Linked DNA regions of Callithrix jacchus. The protein of the gene in region 2 interacts with the protein of the main gene of each other region in a pairwise test. Links are inferred from orthologs where the notes say so. Each region holds a gene or a part of one and is shown on either strand. Other genes may lie near its edges. The genes, in order: ABHD17A, HPGDS and MELTF.

Region 1 (3,141 bases), on a different chromosome or scaffold from region 2:
GAGGCCCGCCCGGGTCTCCGTGTCCAGAGCAGCACCGGCCCAGTGCTCAGACACCCGTGAAGGGGCCAAGCCAGTGCGGGCTGGGGACCCCGATGACCAGAAGGGCCAGGCCTGGTGTCGAGGCTGGCCAGACCTTGAGTGTGTGCTGGAGCCTGCAGGCTCCACCCGGGATGGCCCAGCTCACCGCCACGGGGCCTCATGGGCCAGGCCCCAGGACATGGACGCAGCAGCCTCAGCCTCACCTGCACCCCAAGTGCTGCCTTGGCCCGTGGGCTCCCAGCCATACGTGCACAGACCTCCAGACACCACCTACCCCTCCCACCAGGTGGCATCCACGCCCGTGACAAGCTCAGCCCCCTCCAGTCCTCAGGCCAGGGGCTCCCAGGCTAGGGTGTGGGAGGACCGCCTGGCCCCACCTCAGCCATGTGCAGGCAGCAGCCACACTCCCAAGCTCACCTGTCCCGCTCTCTGGCCCCACGTGTCCACGGTGGCTCCCCTCCTGCAGGACCACCCACACCACCCACCTTCCTCCCAGGGAAGCCCACCCCGGGCCCCCATCCTGGCGTCCTCTCGGGTGAGCTGCCCCGGGGCCGCCCTCACCTGGTGCGCAGGGCCTGCCAGGCGGCATCAATGTCGGCATAGAGGTTCCTCTCGGAGGGCCTGCCCGAGCTGGCCCCGTAGCCGGAATAGTCGTAGGAGAAGATGTTGCAGTGGAGGCGGGAGCCCAGGCCAATATAGAAGCTGCTCATCTGGCCCAGGTCCACGGCATTGCCGTGCGAGAAGAGGACCGTGTACCTGCAGCAGGCGGAAAAGGCCACTCACAGCCCTCATCTCCACGTCCCAAAGCCCAGCTCCAGGGCAGGGGGACTCTGCTGACAGCCCACCCTGTGGCCAGCCACGCCCAGTGCCTCGTTTACTCCCCTCCCGGAGCACGGGGGGGGGGGGTGGGGGGGGGCGCAAAAGGGAGGGGAGGCTACAACAGCCCAGCTCCATCTCAAAGGGCTCCCCACGGGGAGAGGACAGCAGAGCTGGCAGGGGACACGCAGCCTGGGATGCAGAGGCCAGCAGGGGAGCCTCAGGATTCCCATGTGTGACGCAGGACACTGGGACCATCGGTTACATCACCTGCTCAGGACAGACTCGCCGAGTATGCCCAGCTGCTGGGGGGCTTTGCTGCCCCAGAGCCTTTCCCCCTGGAGGACCCTGGACACTGGTGGGGGGCGGGGGAGAGGAGCGTACAGGCCCACCTTTCAGGACCTTCTCAGGGGAGCCTGCAAGGCTGCCAGCAGAGCTATCTGCCCCCCTCACAGAATGTTCTCCTCACTGTTGGGGACAAATGGACCCCAGCCCTGCCCCCAACAAGCAAACGCAGCCAATCCCTGCTCACACTCGCACAGCCCCTCCCGTCCCACCACTGTGCCCGAGCCCGGAGGCCGTGCTGCGAGGCCTGTCTGTTCCGGGCCCGGGAGCTGCCCCAGATCACGCCAGGAGCAGGCGGCCAGGCTGGCCTCCCATGGACTGCTCCCCTCCAGTTCCCCAGGCCCCTGCCCAGCCCGGCCGGAAGCTAAAGGCTCGCCCTTTGGACTCAGATCTGGTCAGAACTCCGCCGGGTGAGAAGGCGGAAGCACCCACATGCCAGGATAGCCCCTCTGCCCCACCTCTCGCCCGGCAAGCAACCAGCAAGGTGCTGGGCCACTGGAGTTGCCCAGACTGCCTGCCCATGCCAGCTGGGGAGGGCCTCCCTGAGCCTGGTGTCCTCATATGCAAGAGGAAGTCACCAGAGGGATGAGGCCAGCCTGGCCGGGGACACCACCCATGCCGGCCGGACAGCCCTTCACAGCAGGCTCGGGCCCTCTGGGGCGCCACCAAGAATGCCAAGCACCCCAGGCGGAATGGGGAGCCCCAAGCACAGGGTGACCCAGCACAGGTAGGGCCGCACTGCTCACCTGGCGCTGGGCACGCAGCGAACATACATGCAGGCGACGCGGTTGCCGCGGGCGCTCTTGGTGGGGAAGACCTCGATGGTGTCCAGCTCGCGCTGGCTGTACTGGAAGTCGGCGCGCTCCGTCAGGTGCAGCTTCCAGCGCCCCGGTGCACCCGAGGAGGCCCGCAGGGTCCCCAATGAGGTGGCCCCGGCCCCACCAGGCCCCGGCTCAGGCTCAGGCACCAGGGAATAGGTGGCCTCTGGCGGCAGGAAGGCGAGCTTGGCAGCGATGCGACCAGGGCAAGGCGGGCAGCAGAACAGGCAGCAGAGCTCACTCAGCGACAGCCCGTTCATGGCGGGCACCGCCCAGGCCGGGCCTCCTCCGGGGCCCCCGCCAACAACGCCGCCCGGCCTGGCCCGGCAGGGAAGGGGTGGGGGTGCTCCGAGTCGTGGGCAGGGGGGAGGGTGCCCCCCCAGCCACTGCCCCAGATGAGAGCCCCGTTAGGAGGCCAGGGCCCAGCCCCATCGCGGTCCACGCCGAGCCCCCAGGAGTCTTGCAACCACCGGTCTCCATGTCGTGCCACGGGAAGCCCTGCAGGGGAACACGGGTGTGTGGGGCCCTTTGGAGGTGCCTCAGTCCAGCTGGGTGCCCCTGGGAGGCGGGGCATCCACAGGGGCGAGGGTGCGGCATGGGCCTGTGTGTGGCCCGTCCTCATCCCCTCGGCCCTCCCTCAACCTGTCCGGCACTGTGCCCTGCGGCTCGGCGAACCCCCAAACTCAAACCCCTCTCCATGGGATGAAGGCCCCCACCCTCCCTCAGCTGGCCATCACCCACCCCCTTTTGCCATATGAATACAGCCACAGCGTGTGGGGATATGACCCCAGCCCCACCCACCCCCATAATGCCCGGCCCTAGCACCAGGGAAACCCCACGCCCCCAGGACTCGGTCTGCACTGCTGCCTGCCTACTCCCACCCCTGGCCCATCTCTGCCCCCCAGTGCCCCCTGTGTCGGGCGGCCGGGGCAAGGACAGAGCTCAGACAGAAGGGACCCACGGGGCACCCGAACAGGCCCTGCTACGTGCTGGAGCACAGGGGCCAGGCCCCGCCGGCCTGCGACTCTGGAGACAGAGGAAGCAGAACAAACAAACGTTCTGGAAACAAAGGCCGGACACATTCCAGGCTCCAGAGCACGGGCCACAGCGGCTCCTCTCTGTG
Region 2 (4,424 bases):
GCTCCTTCCCCAATCCGTGAAGTGTTACTTTGCTTTCCTCTAGCCAAAACAACTGGTTGTAAGGAAGAAAACTGTAATACAAAATGAGACAAATGCTATTTTTTGTATACTTGACTTTTTTTTTTTAACTGAAGCAGTCTCTTATTATATAGAGAGGCAGCATCCTGTAGGGAAAAATATTAAATGTGTCATCAGAAGGCCTAGGTTTTAATTCTAGCTTGTCTCATCAAAAATTCACAGGCAATTTACCTAATTTCCCAAGTTTCAATTTCCTTATTTATAAAAACAGGAATTAAAAATCATTGAGGTGAGGATAAAAAGATTTTTTGAAAATGTAAGTTAGAACTATCAAAGATGATAAATACATTGTGTTAATTTTGTATAGCTCCCACTCCCAACCCATTTGCACTTGATTTTGACACACATGTATCGTTTTTTGGTGATTCAGAGCTACACTTGTGTCTACTCTAACTTTTTACAAACAAGTATTTATATTTATTTTCATTTCTGATGTTTATACCAAGTGGATGTAAACATATTTTTTGAAGTTAAAGTCACTTTAGAAATCAGAAATAAGACGTGATTGAGAGGTTGCTATTGCTGCCTGTGGGAGTAATTTCCTGGAAGTTGAAAGCCTTCTGGTCATTAAAATGTTTCATGAACAATCCTCAGGCTCAGTAAGGCCCAGAGGTCATTTTATTTGATCTTTTCACTGTGCTGTCCTAATATCATAGATGAAATTAATTCCTGCACAAGAAGTGAAAAATAAATTTCTCAAATGTCTAGGCATTTGTTACTAAATTGTAAAAGGATCACAAGCAAGAAGAATTGGAAACTTCTACACCAGGTTTACTTTAAACCCTTTGGCTTTTCTGAGAAATGAGGGTAAATGAAATATACCAGCAGCAATGCAAATTTACAGTCTTTGAAAAGATGTGAACTATAAATTAGGGTCATTCTATCATCAAATGTTTATCAGTGCCCATGACATGGCTGGCACTCCTCTTAGTACTGAGGAGGTAACAGTAAACAAGACAGTGAACTGCCTGCCTTTACAGAGCTTACGTTCCACTAGGGGAAACCAAAAACAAGCAAATGAAATACATGACATTGTTAGACACTCCCTTGAAGGAACATACCGCAGGCACGGGAGAAACTGTTTCTAAAATAGGGAAGCAAGCCATGTGTCCATATGCAAAGATGACTGAATTGCATTCAGGTTGTCTTATTCTCCAAGAGTCTATGGTGTGAAACTAAAAGTAAATGTAACAGTGGGCATACATATGCAGCTATAACTTTGACTTTACCTTTTATGCAAATGAGTTGGGTTATTTACACCCAGATATCCTGTATAACCAGCAGTCTTTGCAGGCTTGAATTGCCTGGCATGCGTGTTTCATCTAAGAAAAGAAAGAAGAGCTTTAGGTGGAAGGAAGTTGCCTGTCCTCTCATTGGCTTGTGATTATCACTTACTCGTCATAAAAACCCAAGGCACAGTCATATACCAAGGGATAGAGGACACTACAGACTCCTGAGAGACACAACACAGGTAAGTAATATTATTGAACTCCGCAGAGATTAGTGACTGAGGAACTCTTTTGTGAGCTATTTTCATGACGGTACTCACTCTGACCTTGTTTACCCAGAGCCTCACCGTATATATGACTCTGTAAAAATCCAATGGTCATTTTTAAGAGAAATTAGGTACAGGAGATTTAAAAAGATCTCTTCAAGTGGATTTTAACATAGAAAATATAATCAATGCTAGAGGAAAAATCCTGTCTTAATCGGGGTTTGTGACTACTGCCAGAATTTTCCCAAGAGATTTTTCAATCTCTTGGATTGATCGAGTAGGGAATTTTATCTCATGGCTCTTCACTTTCTTTCCTTTTCTTTAAAGTTTAAGAATTTTACTTGTAATACTTTCTATTATTTTAAGCCACATTTTGTTGAAGCATCTCCATGTTTTGACAAGAATTGCATCCCATTGTAACCGGTTTTTTTCTTGGGTACTGGTGAGGCACAGCTCACCTGAGAGAATGCTGTGGGTTCTTGGCCTCTAACCTCTTAAAGAATAAGCGATGGGACCACTGCAGGTGTGCCGTATGCTTGTGGAAGTAAATACTGGACCGAAGAAGTGTTGCAGAAAGGTGATTTTATTTAGGCAGAGAAAAGAGAAGGAAAGGAGAAGAGAAAGACTTCCACGAAGAGTGTGGAAGGGGATTCCAGAGGGGAAATCTAGAGGGGAAAGGGAGCTCCCACCGTGTGGGATGGGATTCCAGAGAGCTGGAAATCCGGCATGGGTGAAGGAGCAGGGGAATTTATTCTGGGAGAAACTCCCACCTTCCCAAGTTCCTTAGGCCAATGAAAGGAGTTCCTTACAACTTCCGCTGAAGTGATTGACTCTTAGCTTCCCTTCCCCCCCCGCCCCCCGCGGCCTCGAAATTCAAACATAAACCTTTGAATCTCCCTGATGGAGAGATGGGAGGGGGGCATGGCATTGGGAAATTCTTGCCCTTAAAACTACGCTCCCTCATGTACCCGGAAAGAGAACACAATCCCTTATTCCCTCATCTGAACAGGAAAATTCAACTTTTGTTGGAATAGGGGCATCGATCCTCTTTAACTACTTCGTGCTGAAATGGGTTGTAGAAGGGGCCCTGCAGTTGAGGTTTCCTCCAGAGTGGAGCCCTTTAAGGGTGCAGGTTGATTTACAGATTTATGATAGAGCGGCAGGATTAATTGTGACCTTATGGTTTTATAAGAAATGAATATGACCAGGTGGTTAAAGATGAGAGGTGCAGAGTTATAAACGAGCCTAGGAGAGAACAGAGCCAGGATTTTGAAAGTTTCTAGCCCCTTTTTTGATTGATTCCTGAGTTCTACGTTTAAAATAACACTTAACTGGTTTACAAAAGAGCAGCATTTTTCCTAGAAACAGGTTTCCCTCCTTTTTGTTGTTAGCAGATTTAGGGCCCTTTTTATTTTTTTAAGCTATGGTACCTGAAGAGTTAAGCTGGTTCGTAGAGATAGATGCTTTTTGCAGAGAGAATTAGCAACCTTTCTTTGTTATTAACTTTTGAGATAGCTTATAGTAACTGAATAGAAGTATTAACTTTTCTATACCAGCACCAAGTTTCCAGGGCAGGAGAGAGATACTGAGAAGGCCATGCCAGCGCCCAGGAGAAGACTGGCTTCCTGGACCTTCACGGCTAGCTTTACCTGGGGCTTTCTGAGGGTGATGGCTCCTGCTGGCACTTGTTCCAGGCATCCTTAATCCTGCCATTGGGTTATTTGGTTAGACACCTCAGGCCCAGGGGACCTTGGTTCCCAGGGACAGTGTGCTTTCCGGTGATTCCCTTGGCACAGCAGGTACGGATGAGTTTATATATGTAAGTTTCTATCCAGGGTATTTATTAGTTATTTATTTATGTGTTCTTTGAGAAACGGTATAGGTTAGTCTTCAAAAAGAATTCTAAATGAGCTTTTTTAATCTATCTGCTGAATCAGTAACTTCACATGATTTACTTTGGGGTATAAGGAAGCCAGTGGTTAATTTTAGATGTAAAGATCTTCAAACACAATCAACTTTTTAACTTCATGCTTATCACTTCAGCAAACGTGCAGTTTTCTGTACATGAGATTCCTAACACAGTGACAGTGGACGGGTTCAGAAACAAAGCTAACAGGAAATAAGGGACCAGAACGATATTACAGTTTTGCTGGGGTAATCAAATCATAACCAGATAACCTAGGTGTTACTTCTGTGCGCGATAGAAAGTTGAGGTCTATTTATGCTTATTTTCCCTCTGTTGTCTCAGAACCATTTTAGTCGTTGCTTTATGTCCTCACTCTCTGTCATGTCTGTCCTTTATGTGAGGTTCTGTTTTAACACTCTTGATGCACGTCTGAACAAATATCACATTACAAGGCTTTGTATCTAACTCTTGCTATCTGCTACATCAAGTCTTCCTCTTCTGTTCTCCTTTTCTGTTTGTCTTCGCTGTTTCGGTCCTTCACATTTCCATTTGAAATCTAGGATCCAGTTTATCTGTAGAATCTCTTGAATAATTTTCAGTGATTTGCAATCAATTTGATTGCAAATGGACAGCTCTGTCACTCTCTTCCTACTACTTATAAATGTCATTTATTATTGTCTTTCATTATTGAATTAGCCAGACTGTCCAGCATTATGCTGAATAGCAGATGTTACAGTGGGATTCTTGTTATTCCTCACATTAAAGAAAATGCTTTTATTGGTTCACCATTATATATGATGTTTGCTGTAAGTTTTTAGTAGAGACTCTTTATAGTGTTAAGGAAGTATTCTATTACTCGTTTGCTAAGAGGTTTTTAATTTTGTTGATTTTTCATTTTGCTAAGAGTTTTGATCACAAATGAATGATAATGTTATAAATACTTTT
Region 3 (3,646 bases), on a different chromosome or scaffold from region 2:
AGGCCTCCCGGGTGAGCATCTTCCCCTGGCCACTTTCCTAGAGAGCCTCGCCATGCCTACGGTCAAGCTGGGCTGGAGCGGGCAGCAGTCAGGACAGATGAACTTACGGTTGGGGTCACAGAGCAGACCCTTCATGGCGTGCAGGTACTCGTGGCCCAGCCACGCCTCGTAGGTCTGTGTGGCAATGGGCACAAGCTCAGAGGTGGAGTCCTTGAACATCAAATTCTTCTGGCCATAGGCATCAGAGCTGAACATCTGGAAGCTGCTGCCCTCGTGGCTGAACAGACGCTGTGTGTCAAGGGGTGGGGTATAGGGTGGTGAGGGTGCTGACAGGCCACATCCTTTCCTCCCATTTCAGCCACCACCTCCTTTTCCCCTGACCTCACACTAGGCACCCACTCTGAGGACCAGGGGAGGCCTCTCTCCCTCTTCTGCAGCATCTCCCCCAATCCGCCATCCCCTTCCCCTGGGCCCTGCCAGTTCTGGGTCTGCGCGGAGTTCATTCAGCATCATCACATTCAGCTGTTTGGACACATAACTGTGGCCAGGGGTGGGAGGGCCCTGAGGACATGCCATGGGGCTGGCAATAGCAGCCTGGATGGGGCAAAACTGAGTCCGGGACAGCAGCAGTTAGAAATATATGGCTGTCCTAAGCAGTGGTTTTAGCAAAACCTTATTCACCACATTTAGTTAATGGTGTGCTTTGAAAGGCATTGGTTTTGTCAGTTTTGCTCGTTATGTTCTGGTTTTGGCTCGTAGAGACACAAGTACCAGGAGCTTCCTCTGAGGGTGCCTAAGTCTCTCGGTCCCCCTCTCGTGGCCAGCCCTCCTCCCAGTCAGCCAGAGCAGTTGGTTCCTTACACTGACCTGACCCGAGGCTGGGGTCCATCCCAAGGACAGTCTCTGGGTCCTGCCCCTCCTGGTCCCACCCTGATGAGCAACCACAAGGCCCAGCACCACCTGGGAAGCTGTGCAAGGGGACCAGGGGACCCTGAGCCCACCTGGCCTTCATTGAGCAGCCGGAAGATGAGGCCCCCATCTGTGTCAGCCCGGACTACCACGGCGTGAGCAGGCACCCGGGCCAGGTGGCACTGCCTCCACTCAGTGACGTCGGCCCAGCTGCCATCCCGGCACAGCAGCTTGAAGTCCTGTGACAGCAGGGCCTGGCCCCAGGAGGGCAGTGTCTTCCCTGGGAAGAAGGAAGCCTGGGCTGAGCCAGCTCCTAAAGGGGTTGTGGTGGGTGGCGGGGAAGGCGTAGGACAGGAATTCTGGGGGATGGCTGGGTGTCGTGGACACGAGAACCCAGCACTCAGGAGGTGACAGAGCTCAGCAGCCGCACCCAACTCCAGGTATCTACAAGACTCTATCTCATTCCTCCCATTTTCTAGCTCTCACCAATTTCTATTGCTAAAATGGATTGGAGGTATCTGACAGTAATACAATACTTAGAAATAGGACTATCTCTTCAAGATAAAAAGAGTAAGAAAATAAAGGCTTTGGATGAGAGAGACAAATGTACCAAGAGTCTAGGATGGCTCAAGGCTGCCATGGGGCAGTACCTTTGGCTCTGAGCAGTGGGCACGGGTCAGGGCTCAGGGGGCAGGGGCCATGGTGGAAACGCACCCCGCCAGAAAGGGGAACTCCCTAACTCCAGCTATTCATATTTGGATGGATTTCTTTCAAGTCCTTTTTCTATTTTATTTCCTGTCTTTTGCCCACTTTTAACCTGGTTAAGGACATAGTCGACAGGCAATTCTCATCCTACTTGGTAGAGAATTTTTCCACAGTACTGAAAACTTTCCATAAACTCACTTATTTCTCAACAGAAAAGAAAACTTGAAAGAGTAACTATTAACACCAAATAGGGATTCTGAGAAGATGAATATTAAGGACTATAATTAAACCACAGATGGTCCTACATAACAATATTTTTGTGACTTTAAGACAAGGAGGGAAAAAAACCTCTACATGGAAATAGGCAGGAAAAGATCATTTGTACTGTCACGAAAGCTTTCCCTGCAAAGCTATTATCAAACAAAACCCAAAACCCGCAACGGAGTAATAGTTTGGAAAAACTCCATGAAGGTCATTTTTAATGGCCACATGGTACTTTACAGCACTCTTAATTATTCAGTGCGACTCTCCCCACGCTTCCCAATTTTCCTCTGTTTTTAGGCTGCTGCAAAACAGAGGTTAGATCTCTGGGGTATCATTTGCCTTCACACAGACAAATGCATCATTTAGGTACTTCCATCAGCCACTCCCACTTCTCATCAGCCAAGAACAATGACAATCACTTATGCCAATTCTACTCTTTTGCGCTTATCAATCTTTTTGTATAAAGTTAATTAAAAATTACTTCCTTAGATTTCCTTAGACTACCATCAAAACTTTGAGGCCAGGTGCAGTGGCTCACTTGACAGGACACCATGGCTCCCAGCACTTTGGGAGGTCGAGGTGGGCAGATCATGAGGTCAGAAGTTCAAGACCAGCCTGGCCAACATAGTGAAACCCCGTTTCTACTAAAAGTACAAAAAAACCCCAAAATACCAAAAAACAAAATAGCCAGGCATGGTGGTGGGTGCCTGTAGTCTCAGCTACTTGGGAGGCTAGGCAGGAGAATCGCTTGAACCTGGGAGGCAGAGGTTCAGTGAGCCGAGATCGTGCCACTGCACTCCAGCTTGGGCGACACAGCAAGACTCTGTCTGAAAAATACTACTACTAATAAAAGGCTGGGCGCAGTGGCTCACGCCTGTAATCCCAGCACTTTGGAAGGCTGAGGTGGGTGGATCACAAGGTCAAGAGATCGATACCATCCTGGCCAATATGGTGAAACCCCATCTCTACTAAAAATACAAAAATTAGCTGGACTTGGTGACGCACACCAGCTACTTGGGAGGCTGAGGCAGGAGAATCACTTGAACCTGGGAGGTGGAGGTTGCAGTGAGCACAGATAGCGCCATTGCACTCCAGCCTTGAGACAGAGCGAGACTCTATCTCATTTAAAACAAAAACAACTTTGGGGGTCCAAAGTGGCTCCAGCCGGATGTCGTGGCGCTTGCGAAGGCGAGGTCGTGAGTTCAAGGCTCACACTGATTGGCAAAAAAAGAAAAGAAAAACAACTTTGAAAAAGCTTCCAGATGCATGCCTGTAATCCCAGCTCCTCAGGAGGCTGAGAAGCGAGGATCAATTGAGGCAGGGGGTTTGAGACCAGCCTGGGCAACAAAGTGAGATCCCATCTTAAAAAAAACCCCAAGTTTGAAAAAGCTGATTCATATTCCTATTCTTTTCCCATCTTCCAAATTCTCCTTTGTCTGACTCATCTTGGGGTCTGTGAACAGGGGCCCCTTTTCATAGGACCGCCCAGTAGCACACATCATCCTACATGCTTTGGTGTGTGCAGATTACTTGTTTTCCTCCTCAGATCTGGTCCATGTTTGCCTTCATGATGGACCACGTGATGGACTTTCTGATTTAAAAGGCAATGATCAATAACAGCGAAAAAAGACAATGACTTTTTTGTTTTAAAGCCAATCATCAGACATTCTGGCAGAGGCAAAACTACAGACAGAACAGTCTGTTTGCTGCTTGCTGGCAGGTGGCGGGGTTTTAACGAACAGGGGTCTGAGGAACTTCTGGGCTGAAG

The links.
Region 1: the proteins of HPGDS (region 2) and ABHD17A interact in binary tests that used the Homo sapiens proteins (3 or more experiments, as listed by UniProt). The two-hybrid records come from large-scale screens. The link is inferred for Callithrix jacchus from reciprocal best matches to the Homo sapiens genes HPGDS and ABHD17A.
Region 3: the proteins of HPGDS (region 2) and MELTF interact in binary tests that used the Homo sapiens proteins (3 or more experiments, as listed by UniProt). The two-hybrid records come from large-scale screens. The link is inferred for Callithrix jacchus from reciprocal best matches to the Homo sapiens genes HPGDS and MELTF.

What each region holds. Positions count from the first base shown.
Region 1 is NC_133523.1:1,781,843-1,784,983, forward strand, and holds part of ABHD17A (alpha/beta hydrolase domain-containing protein 17A), read right to left. Parts: intron 2,517-3,141; 5' UTR 2,279-2,516; coding exon 1,947-2,278; intron 796-1,946; coding exon 601-795; intron 1-600. UniProt on the Homo sapiens protein: Hydrolyzes fatty acids from S-acylated cysteine residues in proteins. Has depalmitoylating activity towards NRAS. Has depalmitoylating activity towards DLG4/PSD95. May have depalmitoylating activity towards MAP6.
Region 2 is NC_133504.1:103,242,655-103,247,078, forward strand, and holds the start of HPGDS (hematopoietic prostaglandin D synthase), read left to right. Parts: upstream 1-1,506; 5' UTR 1,507-1,549; intron 1,550-4,424. UniProt on the Homo sapiens protein: Bifunctional enzyme which catalyzes both the conversion of PGH2 to PGD2, a prostaglandin involved in smooth muscle contraction/relaxation and a potent inhibitor of platelet aggregation, and the conjugation of glutathione with a wide range of aryl halides and organic isothiocyanates.
Region 3 is NC_133516.1:25,126,029-25,129,674, reverse strand, and holds part of MELTF (melanotransferrin), read right to left. Parts: intron 1,190-3,646; coding exon 1,002-1,189; intron 289-1,001; coding exon 108-288; intron 1-107. UniProt on the Homo sapiens protein: Involved in iron cellular uptake. Seems to be internalized and then recycled back to the cell membrane. Binds a single atom of iron per subunit. Could also bind zinc.